Linked DNA regions of Lepisosteus oculatus. The main gene of each other region encodes a partner of the protein of the gene in region 2 in a complex. Links are inferred from orthologs where the notes say so. Each region holds a gene or a part of one and is shown on either strand. Other genes may lie near its edges.

The links. Proteins that work in one complex are often made in the same cells at the same time.
Region 1: the proteins of prkaa2 (region 2) and 5'-AMP-activated protein kinase subunit beta-2-like are in contact, whole or in part, in a crystal structure (PDB 6B2E), measured with the Homo sapiens proteins. The link is inferred for Lepisosteus oculatus from reciprocal best matches to the Homo sapiens genes PRKAA2 and PRKAB2. Residues at the interface, in NP_006243.2 of Homo sapiens: Gly9, Arg10, Val11, Lys12, Ile13, Thr21, Asn48, Arg49, Val58, Gln66, Gln81, Val82, Ile83, Ser84, Thr85, Pro86, Thr87, Asp88, Phe89, Met134, Met164, Ser165, Asp166, Gly167, Glu168, Phe169, Leu189, Ala191, Glu194, Pro253; in NP_005390.1 of Homo sapiens: Val60, Ser61, Gln64, Glu67, Asp68, Ser69, Thr73, Gln74, Ala76, Pro78, Thr79, Val80, Ile81, Arg82, Ile106, Ser108, Val113, Ile115, Val155, Ser158, Asp159, Phe160, Glu161, Phe163, Asp164, Lys167, Leu168, Gln191, Met193, Tyr194.

The regions. Positions count from the first base shown.
Region 1 is NC_090704.1:7,853,086-7,863,720, reverse strand, and holds the start of 5'-AMP-activated protein kinase subunit beta-2-like, read right to left. Parts: upstream 4,098-10,635; 5' UTR 3,989-4,097; intron 1,577-3,988; 5' UTR 1,567-1,576; coding exon 1,402-1,566; exon of another isoform or gene 1,379-1,401; coding exon of another isoform or gene 1,373-1,378; intron 1-1,372. Other genes in the region: toll-like receptor 2 type-2, read right to left, coding at 6,652-7,216, 8,000-8,083, 8,492-8,976; uncharacterized protein, read right to left, coding at 10,238-10,540. UniProt on the Homo sapiens protein: Non-catalytic subunit of AMP-activated protein kinase (AMPK), an energy sensor protein kinase that plays a key role in regulating cellular energy metabolism.
Region 2 is NC_090704.1:17,351,580-17,361,626, reverse strand, and holds the start of prkaa2 (5'-AMP-activated protein kinase catalytic subunit alpha-2), read right to left. Parts: upstream 4,913-10,047; 5' UTR 4,814-4,912; coding exon 4,720-4,813; intron 1,464-4,719; coding exon 1,322-1,463; exon of another isoform or gene 1,308-1,321; intron 703-1,307; coding exon 609-702; intron 1-608. UniProt on the Homo sapiens protein: Catalytic subunit of AMP-activated protein kinase (AMPK), an energy sensor protein kinase that plays a key role in regulating cellular energy metabolism.

The DNA of each region.
Region 1 (10,635 bases), about 9.5 Mb from region 2:
CCCAGTCATCACTCCAGCTGCATAAACGGTGATATTTTCAAAATATTTACGTTATGCAGGCAGTGAATATCTCTGACCAATTTACAACTCCTTAACAGCGCTACAGGCAGTATAATATCGTGTTAAAAATAGGTTACATTTTATGTAACAATGACTTTATACATTCATAACAAACTTAACACAAAACAGACAATAAATACAGCATGCAAGGGCAAACATTTTTTGTTAAACATGTTTTCATTAATAATACATACAGCATATTTATCTGGCCCTTTTTAACACAAAGCATCCCAAAGCACTTATATAGGAGACCCACTTTATCTATTACCCAAGCGCAGTACCCAGCTTGGTGACATGTTGCCATCAGCCACACTCCACATTAGGTCAGACAGAGAAGCAAGAAATTACTTCAGCAATTGAATTAAGAAGTAGGCCAGATTGTGAAACCTCTGAGCAGAATTTGTGCCAGGATACAAGGGTAAGCACCACTACTTTTACAAATATTCCTATGGGATCATTAATGGCCAAGTAACTAAGAAGAGGTCCCAACATTGTATTCGATGGGATCTCCTCCACAAAGCAGTCCAACTGTCAACCATATTGAGGTACTGAATGTGAGATTCTAGTACAGAGGGAAATGTACCTCCTCCTGGTTCAAAACCACCACCCACAGAAGCAACCAGCTTACCCTCTGAGGTTTCCCACCACACTGCTGACTAGTGCTGGCTATGCTTAGCTTCTGAGGTTTGACAAGATCAGGCCACAGGGAGGTAACACCTAGGTCAACACCCTGGATGGTGCGCCTGTCCATCACAGGGCGGACACACAGACACCAACACATGCACACAAACACACACCAAAAGTCAATTAACCCACCGGTACAGTTTATAAACCAGAGGAAACCCACACAAACACAAGAAGAACATACAAACAATATGAACACAGATGGATCCCAAGCCCGGAATTGAACCCAGGACCTCTTGCTTTGGGGCAGCAAAACTAACCAATGCGCTACTGTGCTGCCCTTCAACCTCTACATGGTTACCAAAATACAGTATATAGGATAATAAAGTATTTAGTCATATTACTGAGGACAGAGATTAAATCATTGCTTGGCTGTTCAAGCATGCGGTGTTTTTTCATTTGGTTCAACAATGTTGAATGACTTTGTGATAACATGGATGAGACTGTAACATACAACTATCACTGCTTGGTCAGCTGTGGCTTTCATTCTGAATCTCCATGAACACTTGGATTTAAGTGGTTGATACACAGCAGTAATAAACAGCACAGCACAGCCTTGTCAACGGATGCTTTATTGAGCAAGTTCAATGCTGTGCAAAGAGACAGTCCAAGCAGAATGCATACTTACCACCATCAGCCCATGCTTGTGTTAAATACCTTTGACTCCAGAGTGTGAGTGTTGAAGATGTTGGGGTCGTCGGTGCTGTCCACCATGATTTTGCTTGGTTCCTGCTCTTTCTGGCTACTGGTAACTCCATCTGGACGGTGGGATTTTGCCCCATGGCGATCTCCCAAGACCCGGTCACTGGACGTATTCCCCATACTAGTTCACCTTTCCAACAACATTCAAAAAGTCTTAAGAAATCTTGCTACATTAAAATACAGACCTTATCCATCTTCCATTGTCCCACACAATACATCAATTTCATCAAGCAGAAGCAATTATAATAATAGTGCTCACACTTCTACTGTGCTTTTTCTGGACACTCCACTCAAAGCACTTGACAAGAAATGTGGACTCCCCTCCACCACCACCACCTGAATGATGTGAAGGCTGCCAAAGTGCACCAGTACGCTGACCACACACCAGCTCTCAGTGGGGAGGAGAGCATGATGAACCCAACTGATAGATGGGGATGATTAGGAGGCCATGATTGGCAAAGGCCAGGGGGAAATTTGGCCAGTACACCTGGGTAAATACTGCTACTCTTTTCAAGGGATTTGTAATGCCCATGGAGAGTCAGGACCTTGGTTTTTCATGTCATCTGCAGAACAATGCCTTTTTTACAGTATAGAGTCCCCATCACTGTACTGGGGCATTAGGACTCACATAGACCACAGGGTGAGTACCCCCTACTGGTTCCACTAATACCTCTTCCAGCAGCAACCTTAGCTTTCCCAAGAGGTCTCCAATCCAGGTACTGGCCAGACTAAACTGCTTAGCTTCAATGACAGTTGTGGGTTGCAGAGCGATACAGCTGCTGGCAGGTCCATGGAGACCTGATATTTTTGCCACTTTGTTTTAGATGTTAATCCTGACAGATCTGTTTTTCAAAGTAGACCATCCTATTACATTAATACGGAGGATGGAAAAAATAATGGTAAAAACAAGAAACACATTACATTAACGATTTAACGAAGGTTTAATGAAAGCAGTGAGCAAACAGTTTGTGCTTATAAGAAGCTTATATTTGAAATTCCTAATCCTTATCATTAAGATGTCCAAGTCCCTTGTACAGCAGTGTGTATACATTTGTCAGAATTATGAAAGCAGAAGCAGACTCCACATACCTGTGCCTCACGGGATATTTTTCTCATGAACATTAAAATATACAATAACAATGACAATCAAAAGACAATAGCATATTTCATTTCAAAATAATTGTTTTCACTAAAGGAACCAAAGGCATGTTTACAATGACGTCAGGTTCTTATTCTGAGAGAATCGGAGGCAGTATTGGGCTTGTTCTGATTTTGCTTAATTATAGCATCAGAGGAATTTTCTAATCCAACAATAATGAGTGGAATAAAGAGAAAAAAACCCACACAGCAGTCATGTAAGATGTACTCCTACAAATGAACGGAATATCTCGTTCCCCTTTAAAGCACAATATTAATCAGAACAGACAATGAAGTCGTTCGAAAGAGTTTCCTCTCATACCGCCCAAATGTAAAGGTGCCAAAGTCTATAACTGTTACAAAGTCTTTAACTTTGTAAAAGTTAAAAACACAATGGATTCTTTGTGCATGTACTACAGCTGTCTTTATGAACTACAACTACTAACAAAACAGGTAGCACCCAATGACTCTTTACTTTGTAAAGACAGCTAAAAATACACACACGGTACTAGCTGACCTCTGCCTGTACACCAGGGTTGTTAATCCCGGTCCTGGCTTCTGTCTGCAATGCTTCATTCCCAATCAGCTCTCAGTGGTTCAAAAACAGGTCGTTATTAACAAAGTTGGGCAAAGTTAGTCATTTCTCTCAATTCAAGGGACGTGGAGATAAACGGCCTCCAAGACAGTCCTGTTGTAGACTGTATTATTGTGCATATCATTTCAGTGATGACCACTCAACTGTGAGAGGCAATTTGTGGAACCTCTAAGCACAGGTACGTAAAAATGACAAGAAATTGACACTACTACGAAACTGATCTTAGCTTACTATCGGCATGCATTAGAATACGAGCCCGTAATGTTTGTCATGATAATGATTTCTTTAGGGTCAAATGATTGCTTAAATAAAAACACAAACAGCTAACATTATTCAGAACACCAGATTATACGTCAGAAAAACAAAAGTGTAAGTGCGATTTTATTTCCGTGTTTATGGTGTGCTTCCAAAAACTGATTAAAACTGTAGCGCCTGCCTCTTGTAATGGTACACCTGAGCTCTTCACCCTGTTCCCAAAAATATAAACGTTTAGCAACAGCAGTTGTACCATCAAGTTAAATACCATTGTGGCGTTTTTAAAACGACCTTGTTGCCCAAGCAGGACAGCGGTAGTCTTATCAAACGATACAGTAACAGAAACAACAAATTTCCAATAAGTTTGCTTCAACCACAACACTCGGAAGCTCCGACACCCAGTAAATGATCAATAAAACTACTTTACCAGACACCGCTAAATAACAATATCTTAAATGCAAACACTTTAAAGTTCTAGAACAGAAACTGGGGTGATCTTAATTTCACATATACTGTTTGAGGCACAAAGAAGAAGCGCGGAATAACGCAAATTACCTGTTAACGGCGTTTAATGTCTATTGCTTCTGGAGCGCCACTGAACCGATCGCCCTTCCTACATTACAAATGTCAACAGCTCCCCCTGCCCCAACCTTGATGATATCGGCTTCTACGGGATCTGCGGAGGGTCAATCTGTAATCCTAAAACTGCATTTGCCAAACGCGAAGGCCTTCAGATTAAAATGAAAGTACTGAACTGTCGCTCTTGGCTTTTAAAAATGTAAACAAGTCAGATGTTATTTTTGTTTGTAACAATCTGTCGTATTTTTAAATTAGTAATAAATAAGTATACTAGTTTATAATCGTACTTTATAAAGCATGCTAAAACAAGCAATAACTGAATAAAACGATTGACACCCAATACAGATTTTGCATTTTTGATAAAAATATTATCAGATTAATATGGAAATAAACAGGAGACAAAGGTGAGACTTTCTGAAAACATTATTGGCCCAATCATCACTTTAAGCTTTGATTACCATAATACACAAACCCACCAGTTTAAAATAATTGCATTCATGATGTTTACTTTCAATAGTACTTTTCATGATACATATTAACAAAGCGTTTTGGAACAAAACAATCACACCTTAAAGCATATACTCTGTACATTCAACAGAATTAAAACAGAGATAAAAATAACTTTGAAACAGGATTTGAAAGTGCTGACGTGCAAGATAAGACATGAGCTGGGCGATCATTTCACAGCCTTGGAGCAACAGAACAGACAGCAAGGTCTCAGGTGTTGAAAGCATTGTTTTTGGAGGAGGGTGTGAGCAATACATAGCTGTGTTGGGAGTGAACAGTTCATTGATGTAGACAGAAGCTAAATCACTCAAGTGACCAGCTGTATTTTTTTCATTCTGAATTCCGCAAGAGCCAATGCAAGAAAGCTAAAAAAAAAGATAGATGCTCGTGGATTTTAGTTTTAGTTAAGATCAGATTAGCTGAGATCTGAACATATCCTGTTGGCAGCAACACCAGCAAACACTGAATATAATACAATAATCAAGCCTGGAAAAGATAGACATATGCATTAGCTTTTCTCCACAACTCCCTCTCTCTCTGCCACTGAGCAGAGAGTCAGCAATGTTAACAGGATGAAAAACAACTCTTTCACAACATTTTGAAGGTTAGAAGCAAGTAAAACATTAGGAGCAAGCACAGACTTGTGTTATAGTATGCTGCTAGGATTCCGTTTATTCCAGGCTTTCTGAAAAGTATCATTTTGTGATAGTGACAAGAGAATACTGATTTAATTATCAGATTCAAGCTCTGGGTTGTCCTGGGAAAATAAAATATTAACTATACCCTCCTCTCTCAGAGACACTCCCATTTTCACTCTGACAACCCCTTTTCTTGAGCATGACATTACAGTATATGAGCAATACAATTCAAGGGTATAATGCATCTGAATTACTTTGAATTTCATAACTGCAAACTAAATCAAGCAGTAACATCACACATTTATATTGTGCATCATGCAAGCAACCATACTTGGCTTACCCATATAGTATTGAAAGGACAATGTACAGTAATTATAATCTAAAATCTAAAATCAGATCAGAGGGAGATTTATATCTAGTATTTGATCCTGTGATATCATCCTTAATATTATGGATTTTAAAAAACGATTTTTTTCCCAAAAAGCTGTGATCTTTAAAATAAATGGGGTTGATTCCTATACCCAGTAGAACCTTGTGTCGTCTAATAAAAGAACACACTATCAAACATCATCTATGACTGGTCTCCTCTGCTAAAATAGCTAATAATAGGCCTGAAATGATGAGTAATATGTGGCATGCTTCAGTTATAATATGCTTACACATATATAGCGCTTTTCTGGATAAGTAACTCAAAGCACTGTACTGTACATGTAGTGGGGACTCCCCTCCACCACCAATGTGTAGCCCCCACCTGGATGAGGAGAAGTCTGGATTTATTGAAAAATTTCAAATTGGCACTCTCAAAATATTGCCAATATAACAACAGAATGTGTGAAGTTATTAAGAAATGGTGGTAGAGGGTCAGTTAAAAGTATAATTCTATGCTTGGAGTATAGAGAAAAGTGAAGCTGACACATAGCTCAATACTACTACTACTACTACTACTACTACTACTACTACTAATAATAATAATAATAATAATAATAATAATAATAATAATAATACAAAGTGCACCAGTACATCCCACACATTAGCTATCAGTGGGAAGGACAGCAGACTGTTCAGAGATGGGGATTATTAGGAGGTCATGATTGGTAAAGGCCAGGGGGAAATTTGGCCAGGACACTGAGGAGAACACCCCCACTCTTTTCGAGAAATTCCCTGGGATTTTTAATGACCACAGAGAGTCAGGACCTCAGTTTAACAGAAGGACAGTGCCTTTTTACAGTCCAGTGTCAAAAAACGTTGGGTGTCCAGCCTGTTCTGCCTCAGCGTGTTATACAGCACGGGTGCGAGCTGTGGCCCCCAGACATAGTTCCCACTGCGACAAGAGAGTCCGGGGGACTGTGAAGATGCTGGGTGAGTCAGGGGGGAGGCTTAGACTTTCAGCAGGTAGTTAGCAGGTGGCAGCACACTGAACCAAACTTGAGTGAGAACGGCACTTGAAGCACGAAGGTTCTGGCAATATGGAAAAGTCATTAAACGACAGGGGAGTCACTTTCCTGGGTTTCCTTGAAGACTGGGTGCTTTGACCTCAAGATTCAGAACAGCCTTCAGTCGCTTCCAGAACATGGACTGGCAGGCTTCATCCGGAGGCCACTCCAGGTAAGTGCTCTTGTTCATCATTTTGCGCAGCTTGCAGAAACGGTCGGGAATGGAATTGGCCGGAATGGGCTCGAGGAGCAGGAGGATCAGAGAGTCCCTCCTCTCTTCAAACACCCGGTGCTGAGCCAGGAAGAACTCGTAGTGGCACCACTCGCTCTGCACAAAGTTCTTAGACAGCACAAAAACCGTCTTGTAACTTTTGGAGATGCAGTCAATGATATTGGCAATTATAGCCTTTCCAGGTGTGAAGTCACGTTCATGGATACAAATACGGTAGGGTGGATCGTCTGATTCCAGCTGTTTCAGAAGATTGTTCATCACCCATGTAGAGTCCTGTTCACTATAGGATAGAAAAGCATGATATTCTAAGTTTCTTTCCCCAAGGTCAATATCTGGAGCTTTTTTAGCCCTGATCCATATCCAGATAGTTTTTATGTACCATGGTCCATTATATCTTATGCAAATACAAATACACAAAGCCACAAGAACAGCTACACAGGCCACAACTACGCCTGCAAGCATGCCAGGATTACACTGCACAAAGGAAAGGTCCTGAAGGCAGATTTCTGAGCCTCTTAAAGACAGGGGAATCTCACATTTGTATCCTTCTGGCCACTCCTCTATTCTGGTTAATGACCCAACAAAATACTCGCAGAGATTATTTATGTTACAATAACAATCAAAGGGGTTGTAACTAAGTTTTAACTCAGTGAGGTTTAAGGCTTTCAGAGTTGCAATGTCAACTGCATTTATTTTGTTTTTATCAACATGCAATATTGTCAGATAAGTCAAGGGAGGTAGGTGGTCTATTGAAAGTATATTATTGCCAGAAAGGTAGAGTTGGGTTAAATACTGCATCTTTTCAAGATTGGCTATTATAGTGATGTTGTTGAGGCTCAGATCCAAGATTTCTATTGAATTTGGCAAGCACATAAATACATTACTGGAGAGGTGGTTACCCCTCAAGTTCAAAAATTTAATGGTTGGAGTCCAAGGGCATGGTTCTTTGGAACTGAAGTCTAATGTGTTAAAAGCTGCAGACACATTCACCAGCTGTTCCATATGAGAGGTCATTGCAGCAAGTTTCTTCAAGTCTCCAAAATTATTTCTGTCAACCACCAATGAACGCAAACCAGGTAATGGTCTATGACAATTTGGAAACAAGGTATATTCATGGAGCAAATTATAGGACACCTCTAAAAATTCCAGTGATTGCATAACATCAGCTATTGCGCACGGAATGTAAAAAACAGAAGCATTCACAATTGATACCTCGATAAGGGGTTTGAAAAACTCCACCATGAACTCCAGGGAAGTAAACCTGTAGAAGTTCGGATTATATATATGTCTAATAAATAACCTTCTTAAGTGTATATCCTGAAAATGTGTAATATCAACTTTCCAGTGTCCTATAGCATCAAAATGAATCAAATCAAAGGAGATCTCTTCAAGGTTTGCTTTGCCCACAGTGTTGAACAAAGATGTAACAAATTCATCGTTCATAGAAATATTCTGGAAAGCAATGGATCTCAATTCTGAATCATCAAATGTGGAAAATAAAGATACAAATGTCCCACCCCTAACCAGATCAGCATTCTTTAGTTGTAACGTCCTGGTTGCGTTTTTGATGTCTTGAAACATGTGCTGAAGCAGTTCCAAATCATGCCAAATATTCACCTCCAGAGTGAGTTTTTCCAGACCATATAGGATTTTCAAAGAGTGCTCATACTCATCGAGATCTCCAGTGATCAGGTGGAATTCCTTGAGATGGAGACTGCCCAATCCTTGAAAGATGTTCTTTCCTAAAGAGATGATTTGAGGATTACCAAGCTTCAAAACCTGGAGGTGTTTCAGAAGGCTAACCTGTGGTCCCAGCTGGATTTTATCACCAATGTTGTTGGAGATGTCCAGGTAGTTCAATGCAACCAGGTTTTTAAAGGGAAGGACAGAACCTTCAAGAAGATAGTTGTTTGAAATGTCCAAGTACTCAAGCTCTGGGTTGTCTTCAAAGGCCCTGTGATCTATAAAGCTAATTTGATTGAATTGCAGGTAGAGCTTCCTCAGTCCTTTGACTTCGGTGAAGTCCTGCTCCTCTATTTTCTCAATGTTGTTGTGAGACAGGTCCAGGGTAGCTGTGGTTGGAGGAATTAGGCAGGAAGTGTTTGGGTAGTTCTGGGCAGAACAGTTGACCACAAGACCTCCGTCCACTGTCATACAAAATGCACAAAGAATAAAATATAGTACAGAAACTATTTTGTTCTGCTTCCACAAGACGCGGTATATGGACATGTTTCCAATTTCCAATTTGTCTTTCTGTTCAGTGGCTTCTAGCTATGGAAAAAATGTACAGGGATGTTTTAGTACAAATGCTTTAGTACATTAGACAGACATTAGAGAATAATTAATTTTAATTTTAGCTCCCATTTAGTTATTAATTTGACTAAATATAAATTTGAAAGCAACTCAATTTGTATTTATAAACAGAAACATAAAAAAACAGATAACAAAGCAAATTAAATCTCACTGAATTTTATCTGCAAATGACCATATATGAGCACTATGTTATAACCAGTGTTTATTTTTAATCTGATTTTATACACCAAAATAACTTAATACTGTTTTTCTTTCCACTTTTTATTGCATAAACAAGAAATGTTATAACAAACAAAAAAAAGAAACTGAATGTATAATTCTAACAACAGGAAATCACTTATTTCCTCCGATTCTCAAGATATTTGGAGTGTACAACTCCTATATTGTCTGTCAATAAAAATAATTTTAAAAATATATATTAAAAGAAATAACTTGAAACTGAAACATACCCGCACCACCTGTTTTTTTTGTTTGCCTTTGGTTAACAGGTTATCTCCATTAATAACCACACAAATTTAGATGTTTCTTAACTTTTATTAAATGTATTATCATCTCCACGGCTCTGCCCTTATTAACTTACCTTGCGTCTTCTGTTTTGGAGAAATGTGTCAGGGTGAAAATCAGCCGCTCTAAAAGACGGGAGTTACTTTTAAAAAGATTGTAAAAAAAACAAGTTCCACGATTGTAAATTAAAATATACTGTAAGATTCATTTGTGTGAAGAGAGTAACGCTGGGGTGTTTTTCTCGCTCAAAATGCTCTTTCGATCTTTTCCTTTGCTTTTTTTTGTTTTGTAAGGTACAGCTCAAGAACATTCTTTCTTTTCAGTGCTCTTGGTATAGTTTTGCAGAACATTTGGGCCTCCTTTCTTTACTCCACCTTTTACAGGTGGACAAATGTTGCTTTCATACAAAAGGGTGTGGCACTTGACAATGGCAAGTTATTGCCTGTAATGTGAGAACGATACATTATATACATTATTAAATCCCGTGTTTTTCCTCTGATTTTCTGATTAACTTATTCTGGAATTAATCAAGCACAATGAGACATTTTTAGGAAAAAAAATCATTTAAAAATATTTATTTATTTTAAAAGCCTCCTTATTATAGCTCCAAACTACACCTAGGTACACAGCAGCCTTTCTTTCCTGATGCCGATATATCCCTTGTCTTTGGAATTTCATCTTTATCTTTCTTATCCTCAGAAGTGGGTTGCTCTGCAGTTTGGGTCTCCTCTTTTTTGCAGTTTGCAGCTTTCTTTTTCTTCTGCACTAGCGGATACTTGAATTTGAACACAACACCTCTCCCTCCACTAGAACATGAGAGTGTTTCATTGTCCTCATCGTCTGCTACGCTGGTTCTCCCAGCAGTGTTAGGGGAATCACTGACTTTCACCCCATTCATGTTCTGATACAGTATGTTGTGAATTGCCAAAAATGGAGAAAGAGAGACAAAAAGCACAGTTATATTAACCCTCTGTTCTATTGCTTGCAAAATGTATT
Region 2 (10,047 bases):
CACATTTCACGTTTCTATCCAGAGTTGGAGGAAAAATTGCCTGTTTTTGTTGCTACCGAACAGAGAACCCTCAAGCAAGTGTCAAAGCTTCCACATAGTTGGGAAAGGGAGAAGCAAAATACCAGGTCTTTAGCAAGTTTTATCGTAATGTACGCCCCCTACTCCCTTGTTGAACACCAGGGCTTTGCAAAGTGTTGCAAACACTGGAGCCAAGGTATAACATACCGTCTCTGCGTCACTTTAGTGAAACAGCAATACCAATGCTCTACAACGACACCAAAACTCAAGTTTTGGAATCACCGAAGAAAGCAAATAGGGTGGCAATAATCTGTGACAAAAGATTTCATTTTGGTGAATGACAACGCCTCTAACATGGCTGTTGCTGCACAGCTGGCTAAATTCCTACACCTGAGATGTTATGCTCACACACTGAATTTGGCCTTTCAGCAAGCACGCAAAAAAATTAATGATGAATAGAAAAAAAATCGAGATGCATCGAGAATCGATTCGCATTATCGAACCCTAAATCGAAATCGAATCGAATCGTGAGGTGCCTAGAGATTCCCACCCTCCTGCATAGCACACAAAGGGTAACACCAAGTTCTTACCCTCCCATGCTTACAGATGTAGTCAAACAGTTCACCTCCAGACACGTACTCCATAACCATGAAGAAGTCCGTGGGTGTACTGATGACCTGGTATCTAAAAAAAAAAAAAGAACTCCAATTACCAATCAAGGTTCCAAAATATCACCCAGCACTGTCTGTGACAGTCTCAAAATCCAAAGGAGCTTTCAACAAAAGAACAACATTAATGTTCTAGACTTGCAGGCAAAATTCATTCCACTTTCATATATTTTTTTCTCCTAGATTGTCTTTGATGTCATTAGATATAAGGTACTGTATACCTACTGCAATTATTTTTGTTTTGCTTCTCTCTAAAGTGTCTGCTTTGATTTTAAGTTATAACTTGCATGCATGTTAATGATGAATTTGTTGTCAAAATTAGACACAATTTATAACATCTACAATTTGCTTTAAGGGCTTTAGGGAGTTCTGCAAGCACAGGTACACCTTGTATATATTTTAAATATGTCCACATTGTTTACTGAGAATTATTTTTCAGTATATTATAACATTAGGGCCTTCAACCAGTGAATATGGGAAAGGTCTGTTTGAACTTGACTAGCACCAGCATAGCATGGGAGGATTATGAACTGAAAGAGACATTAAAGATTTGTGGTTACTGTGTATCTTGAGGGCTGCAATCATGCTCCACTCTGACAAAATGCCCAGATTTTAATTCACCTGGTGTTGCTCACAGTTTAATAATGTGAGGGTGACGGAAAAGCTTGAGGTTCTGTATTTCCCTTTTTATTTTCCCCACCACATCCAGGCTGCGGATTTTCTGACGATTCAGAATCTTCACTGCGACCTTGTGCCCAGTCAGCTGGTGCTCCCCGACTAGCAAAAGCACAGAACAGCAACAACAGTGAAACAACTGAAAGAATCCAGAGAGTAGGTAAGCAAGACTCCAGGCCCATAAAATGTACACTTGACAAGCAAAAGTGATGGAACTGTCAGTAAAAATAAATTCAAAGGTCTCAGTTCATCTGTGAAAAAGATATACAAGTACTGATTAAAAAGTGAATACATTATCCATTTGCTTAGAAAAAATAATATTCAGAAAAAGTATTAACTTTCCTTTTTTATGAATGCATTCCCGCCAATAACAAGAGGATATGGTGTGCACATTAAGAGCAGAAAATACACTTAAAACTAGTCTTTCAACCCATGATAGCTTCCAATTCATATATACTGTACAGAACGATTCTACTAGGAAGTAAAGCGAAATTATAAAATGTGTCCATACATCAACCTGCACAGTTGAAGTGGTAAATCATTCTACAGAACATTAAGTATGGTTTGTCATGTTATTTCTCAATGCCTTATTAAGCAATTATAGACCACAAGACTAAGACTACCATGTTTTTTTGTTAAAAATCTACAAGATTAATTTAAACTACCTTCCTGGAGTCTTTAATTTAGCATTCTGAAAATATTTGTGGAACATTAGTTATTACTGCAAATTTATTTTGGTGGTGAATATTACATGATTATGATCAGAAAATGCCTGGTTTATAAAGTTTTTGAATTGGTCTCACTGCTCTATCTTAAAACAATCATGGTTGCAGTATAAAAAGGCAACAGAAATCAATTCACTGACTTAATGTAAGGTACAAACCTGGTTAATATTAAAGGCAGAAGAGTCTACTGAGATCTCTGGTTTGCCTATTACGTCCCATGCAATATTCTCATTAGACTATGATAAGTACTATTAATGTATAAAACTGGAACATCAGGATTGCTCATTTGAGAGCAGATCTCCTGCCGTCTCTTGACATGAAGCATGATAGAAGCCAAAGACAACACACCTCGCTTTTCTGTGAGAACTATCAATATTTAATAAAACAAAAAACAGAAGGAGAAAGACATTGTAAAAAAATTGTTACACTCAAACCCTTAGCTCAGCTTCAAACATCTTCTACAAAACAGCCTGGCTGTTTCAGAAAAGCAATTAAACATGCTCAGAGAACCAGCATCCTGCTTGTGAATCCACATCCCCTCCAAATAAATATGCTGTGCATCCTCAACAGAGAAAATACAGAATATGATATCTTTCTAAAATGTAAAAAAAGTACTGTGTAGACCAAATAGAAAACAGAAAACAGTGATTTACAAAATTGCTTGATAGACTCCCCAGGGTTCAGTGTTATCTTAGATACCAGGCTATTTTTTCTCTTCTTGTGCTTTTATCTAATTCCTGCTTTCCCCTGGTCCTGAAAACTCACACAGCATGTTAAGGACATCCAGATTGCAGCCTATAATCTTCCATGGGTTAGCAATACAGTACATGTCCTAAATAATTTAAAGTTACTGATGTAACCATTTCATACAATTGATCTCACTTTTTTATATTGAAGACTCATGCTATTTATTTTTTACCTTACCCTTATAGTGAAGGACAAGTCCATTATAGGAAAAAGGATAAATAATATGTCTGTATTAATTCTTCTCCTGCCCCAACAACAACCAAGCAAAGTCTAAAACTTAAACAAAAAGCAAAGAAATGTCAAGTTTGCCTCTTATGGATCTCTATGTTTTGTGGACTGTTGTGACCACATGGGGACTAGATCAATACACTAATGGCTAAGATGTATGTGATAAAGTAACGGGTGCCTGAAAATTTCTTGGAGTTTATAGTTTTGGGAAAGGTATAGCAAAAGTTATTAAAAACTCCATTAAATCACTGATGAGATTTCAATTGCTTATATCCCCAAGTTTTATTAACATGTACTGTAGTTTGGATTTTCAGCAATATAGATAATGCAGAATCCCTACATTTGAGCACATTAAAACCAGAATCAGAGAAGCACGTAATCACACTAGAACATAAATCTTTTATAGATAAGTCTACTCCTCTAATTACCGTATTTCAAAAGTTGACCGGTCCAGACCTCAGACTCGGCCATTAAAAATCTTACTATTCTTGAAATACGCTGTTTGCTTCTCTTTAAAGTGGTTTCCAAGGTCAAGCTGGGATGCATTCCAAATTCCAACCTACAGGTGGCTGCACTTGCTGGTTTGTCTAGGCAGTGCTGATAATTCACATTGAGAAATATTGCAGACATATTAGCGTGAAACGCTGAAAATGAAAAAAATGAGTTGTCGTTTAAAAAACACTTGGTACTTTTGATCATGAAAAAGTAGTGTTGCTCGTGCTTTGTACTCTCATGAATGGTTCGAATTTCCAGCTTTAATAGAAATGGACATTTTTAGTTTTAATTATTGCAGCTGCAAACTATTGTGGTTGCCTTATTACCGGACAACAGTCTCCTAAATTACTTTCCCTCACTCTGTCGAACCTTAACATTGACCTAGCAAACAATAATTACCATTTTAACTTGAACCAGGAGAGCACTAATTCTAGTAGTAACATGCCAGAGTGGATCTTGTATTCTTTGGTTCTTTTGGTCATATTATTTTAAAATCCAGAAAAAACCGTTTGGCAACAGATGCAGTTTACTCGTATCAACTAAACGAATTTACTAAAATGCCATTTTTAAAGTTAAAATTTAGCCATTTTTAAAATATCCTCATAGATTGGCGTGCGTAAAGGTTAAAGAAACAAGGTCAGAATTACAAGCCGACAACACAGTTATCAACTCTGGTTTCCTTAAGAATAAAATGCTGCGTACATTTTACATCGGTTTAACATAATATTTGATATGGTCATTACCAAAGTGTGATGATTTTTCTCAATATTGCGCTGTCAAAGCAATGATTGTATATACCTTACAAAATACTGCATTCGCATTTATTGTTACTGCATGTCAGAAAACAGGATTTTTGATTTACTACTGCTTCCTAAGCATGAACTGCACACCATAATATTTACAAGCGTTTAACAAGACTGCTCTCTGCATTGATGACAGAATTCGGGATTTTTTAAAACACTCCCCATTCTTCAGTTATATTTACGAAATAAGCGTTCGCCGTTCTTAGACTGCTCCCATACACTGTCAAGACACTGCTACGCCGTTTGCGTAGTGTCCACCTGCAATGGTTTAACATTCACAGTCAAGGCAGAGGAGAAAGACATTTACAGTCTGTCGGAAGCTGTAGCAGTTTCTTAACAAAATAAAAAAAAACACTTAACTCTTCACTTTTCCGAAAGTGCCGACTCCAAGGGTGTCTCCTAATATGTAGTGTCCTATTTTAACCCTGCCTTCGTGTTTCTGCTTCTCAGCCATTTTTGCATTTGTGATCCTTCTGTAGTTTTACCCAGAGTGCAGAGGGAGGCGAAGAGTACTGTACAACGCACACTACACCAAGCACGCGAAAGAAGTCAGACACCAGACAGCGCAATGCTGTTTATGGTGATTGTCAGTCTTCTGGCGAGAGACATGGGGGGAGGATGGCGGCAGCCTATTAACTCTTCCCCACAATTCGAAATGTGTGTCTGAAATGCCTGTGTATTTACCTGTTATTGGGAAAGAAATATTCTTAATTCTTTACACGCTAAAACCCTAATCCCGCTAGAATCACGGTGGCTGCACTTCAAGGACATTTCTACAGTATGCAGTGTGTCACATTCTTGTCTTTTTGGAGATACTATAATGTTTGATTGTTGTCTTTGATAACAGCATTAAAGTTGTTGCTGTTAGGAACTGACGACGTACTAGGTATTCTAGTGTACTGAAAGGTAGCTCTTCTTATGTACCATAGCAAATAAATACTGTATATGCCAGAAAATTTTAAATTTATTATATACTGCAGCGAACGACCCTGCGGCTCTGGAGGCTGCAGACAGAGTACTCAGTTTAAACAAAAGGGGTTTATTGCCCTTTAGATTACAGTATGTGTGCTAGTCACTAGGGGAGAGAGAGTGGTGTCCCGCAGTCTCCGGTAGCAATACATGGCGAAATAGAAGATTTATATAATATGATACATGTGTACTGTATACAGATGCAGTCAGGGTCAAGGTTGAGAGGGAAAAGGGAAAATCCAATACAGGTGGGAGCGGAATGCTACACTACATAAATGTGAACACTAGGTGGAGATGTACGATTTCTGTCGTTCTTATATAGTTCCAGTAATAATAATAATAATAATAATAATAATAATAATAATAATAATAATAATAATAATAATTGCTTACACTTAATTTTGCTTCTTTTCAGCCATTCTTTTTGGATCATTGTCTTGCTGCATGACCCAACTACATTTCAGCTTCAGCTTACGGACAGATGACTGGACATTCTCCTTAAGAATTTTCTAATACAAAGCAGAATTCACGGTTCCTTCAATTATGGCAAGTAATCCAGGTCCTGAGGCAGCAAGGCATCCCCACTCCATCACACTACCGACACCATGTTTGACTGTTGGTATGACGTTCTTACTGTGGAATATTGTGTTTGCTTTACGCCAGACATAATGGGACCCATGTCATCCAAAAAGTTCCACTTTTGACTTATCTGTCCATAGAACACTCTCCCAAAAGGCTTGGGGATCATCCAGGTGCTTCTTGGCAAATGAGAGACAAGCATTTATGTTCTTCTTGGTTAGCAGTGGTTTCTGCCTTGCTGCTTTCCCATGAAGCCCATTTTTGCCCAGTCTCTTTCTAATTGTGGAGTGATGAAAACTGACCTTAGCTGAGGCAAGAGAAGCCAGCAGTTCTTTGAATGTTTTTTTAGGATCCTTTGTGATTTCCTGAATGATTTTACACTGCGCCTTTGGAGAAATTTTGGCAGGCTAGCCACTCCTAAGAAGATTCACAACTGTTCCAAGTGTTCTCCATTTGGAGTTTACGGCTCTCACTGTGAGTCCCAGAGACTTTGTAACCCTTTCCACACTGATAGATATCAACAACTTTTTTCTGATTTCTTCAGGAATTTCCTGTGGTCGTGGCATAAGGTGCTTGTTGAATCTTTGTGCTGGCAACTTGACTCTGTTAGTAAGGGTCAAAATAAGTGAGGTTTATATTGAGCAGGGCTGGCTGTAATCAAGCCTGGCTGTATTCAATCAGCTGACTCTAAATTATCATTTTAATTGGGTTGATTTAACTAAGGGGGCAAGTACTTTTTCACACAGTGCCAGTTGGTGTAGGATAACTTCAGTGTCAAAAATGTGCAATAATAGAGGAAATCAATAAGGGGGCAAATACGGCACCGTACCTACACACTACATACTTATGCACTTCCATTTTACTCATTTAATGTATTGGTACTGTGTTTGCAATCTTATTCTTTTGGCATCTATTGAGTCAATCTTTAATGTGAATTGCAGGTTGTGAATGCTTATCACCTGAGAGTTCCTGTAACAGGAAATTAAAGCCTTCAGCTTTATCAGGTGGACAATCGCAGTTACCTGTTGGACTTTAAGAGCATTGACGGTAAGGAAAACAAAGGTACTGCTCATCTTCAGCTATGTCATGCTAATAAATCACACTGGAGACATGTTTATACACAAAGTAGTATGGCATTTGCAGTGCTTCACATACTTCTGAATATTATCTTAGCTATGTCCCTCTGTGCAGCTCAACCAGAAAGGCACTTAAGCTGTAGACTGAGTGTTTTCACTTGTCCACAAGGGATTTCACAGCCCGAATAACTCTGAGGGAAGTGTGGGATTAGTCAGTCGGGGTTCTCGGCTCTTGGTGGAACAGCACCTCCTGTAGCTTGAGTGCAGGAATGCAGTGCTGTCAGCGAGGGATGATCCTCTCTCTAATTGGCACCGAACCTCCTGAACTGTGGTGCCTGTGACATTAAAACACAAGTGGCTCGAAGCTGAGCAGGTCAGCTGACATTTCTTCCCCTCTGCATGTGCAAGAATGGTAACTGTGAGCTGACACTTGGAAAAGCACAATTCGCCATTCAAATTCATTTAGGATTAATAATAATAATAATAATAATAATTGGTTACACTTATATAGCGCTTTTCTGGACACTCCACTCAAAGCGCTTTACAGGTAATGGGGACTCCCCTCCACCACCACCAATGTGCAGCATCCACCAGTAGAAGGTAAAATGTCCAACAGCCCAACTGCTTCCAAAATACTAAGATAACACAACAGAAGTCAACAATAGGTTCTTGTTTGTCTGTTGAAGATTGAATTGATTCTCAGTGTTGTTTAGCAAAAAATCATAATCACTTTCAACATCCACTTATCCAGTTTAGGGTCACAGATATACCCTGGATGGAACATCAGTCTATCACAGAGGACACAAAGATGCAGAGCTATTTTCACACCATTTTTTATAGAACAATCAGTTTATTATTAATTTGATTAAATTAGTTAAAGGACAAGATTTGTACTAATGTGCTCTTCTGATTTGTTACCTCTATTGTAAATTGTTTTGTGATGTCCTAACAGGAAAGGCACAATATAAAAATTATTAAATTGTGCATTTTAATTAAAACTTTCCAAATGAAACTAAAAATTAACTTAGGCTGTGAGCAGGTCAGCTCTGTGTAATATCTGAGGTACTGTTTACTCTGAGAGGCAGAGAGATGTGACCTTAACTGAAATTTTACAGCCACCTTGCCACTTGAAGAAGCAGGAGAAGGTCCTGTCCACCAGCTAGATTGAAGACTTCATTTGAGTCTTGTCAGAAGTACTGTATACTGCTGTGCAGCATTGTTTGTAAATTTCTGGTAACTGTACTTCTATCATTATCATTATTCATTTTTGTTAGTAATGTTGATGCTGTTGTCCATGTGTTCAAGTACATATATTATAGTAAATTCAGTACAATTTGGTCCAAGTACAGTTAAAGTTATCCATAGACAGACATCTTGTAAAATGCTACGATGACCTGGTCTAAATTGATTCACCTTTAATATCTAGTAAAGTATTCACCACATTGCACAGAAATTAAATTAATATGTTAATTGATTAGTTGGAAGGTACAAACAAGTAAGAAAATTCATAGTTTATTGTCCAACCAAGGTTATTTTATGCTTGTATTTTTAAAACTTTCTAAAAATACACCATTACCCTGACATTGATAATGTTAAGTATTTGTACAAATGTATTTTTAGTAGGTGATCCGCAGGTGAAATAGCTACTACCGAACAAGGTAAATGGGCTAAATGGACTGTTCTTATTAGCCACTATCCAGGTATTGATTTTTATGTTTGCTTATTGCAAATGTTATTGTCCCCATTTAATCACAAAGCATTTGTAGCATTTATTTTACTTTACTTGCAATGATTACTTTACAACAAACAAAAATGGATAAATCTGTTTAAATATATCATTAGAAAAGATGTTTTGCTGAATAATTCACCTGAGTGCTTACCATCTTACATTCTTTTCCTCTTGTGAAACAGCTTATTGGAAAAGAAAGATAATCCACAACAAATTCCTCTTAAATGAGTGTGGTTAATTTCTTAGAAGTCTGTTTTTTCTTTTCATGATCTTTTTTTTAAACTTAATTTCCATACCTGTTAACTTAAACTTAATTTTAGTTGAATTTTGATGTTTTCATTGATGCAATGCAAGAAGTAATATATCAAAGATTACTTGCATGTGTCGGATGTAAAACTTATTGTTGACATTAGATGGCACCTTTGTCCTACTTGTAAATTGGAGCCCACATTGCTAAATAAACTAAAGTGCCAAACTTAACACAGTACAGCACTGTGTTATTCTGATAAACTATTTAAATGCATAGAAAAACATGTGCTGAAGCAGTATTTACTTTCTTAAGTAAGTACTTTTTGATTGTATTAAGCTATTTATGTCAGTAACAGTGTTCCAGTGAATAAGAGAGTAAAGAACATAACACTTCTTAGAAAAAGAAGTTCCTCTGTCTAAAATTATTCCTACAGTATGTGACAGGCAGCACATATCCTTTATTCTATTGAAGTTTACATAAGGTTTGCAAATGACAGGGGCCCATTGACCTTGTTTCGTTTTTTAAAAGATAAGTGACACAAGGTTCCCTTCCAGTTGTTTATTGAAAGAAGCTTAGGTACCAGCTTTGACAACAAGGCTGGGGAGCTGGTTCCATAGTTCTGAAAAATAAGGTTTTCAATCAGACAGAATGTAACTATTACCTCATGGGAAAATGCCAAGTCACATACAAAGTTATCCAATTGGATCTTAAGACCTTCTTTTTCTGCATGGTTGAGCTATTTTTGCTTTATCACTGCTTTACTTCCATGTTTTGCTCAGAGTTGTGAATTCTATTAGACACAGCAGAAATCGTATGCAAAAAGCTGGCTCACCCCTCTACTGGGCTGCTGAGTTGCTCCTTTCTTTCCATACCTTAGCATGGAATTAGCATCTCCTTCTGCCCTTACTGTGGTTGCTGCGATCAGAGTGATTGTAGCAGTGTCTCTGATTTTTCTTGTACATACTGCAAAGGTCTCTGGTATTCCTGTAAGTTTCTTTAGTGCTGAGACTGCTTTGCTTTGTTTTAATGTCCCTCTCTTTTATTTCTTCAGTACCATGTGAGTACTAAGGGAACTTTTTAGATCC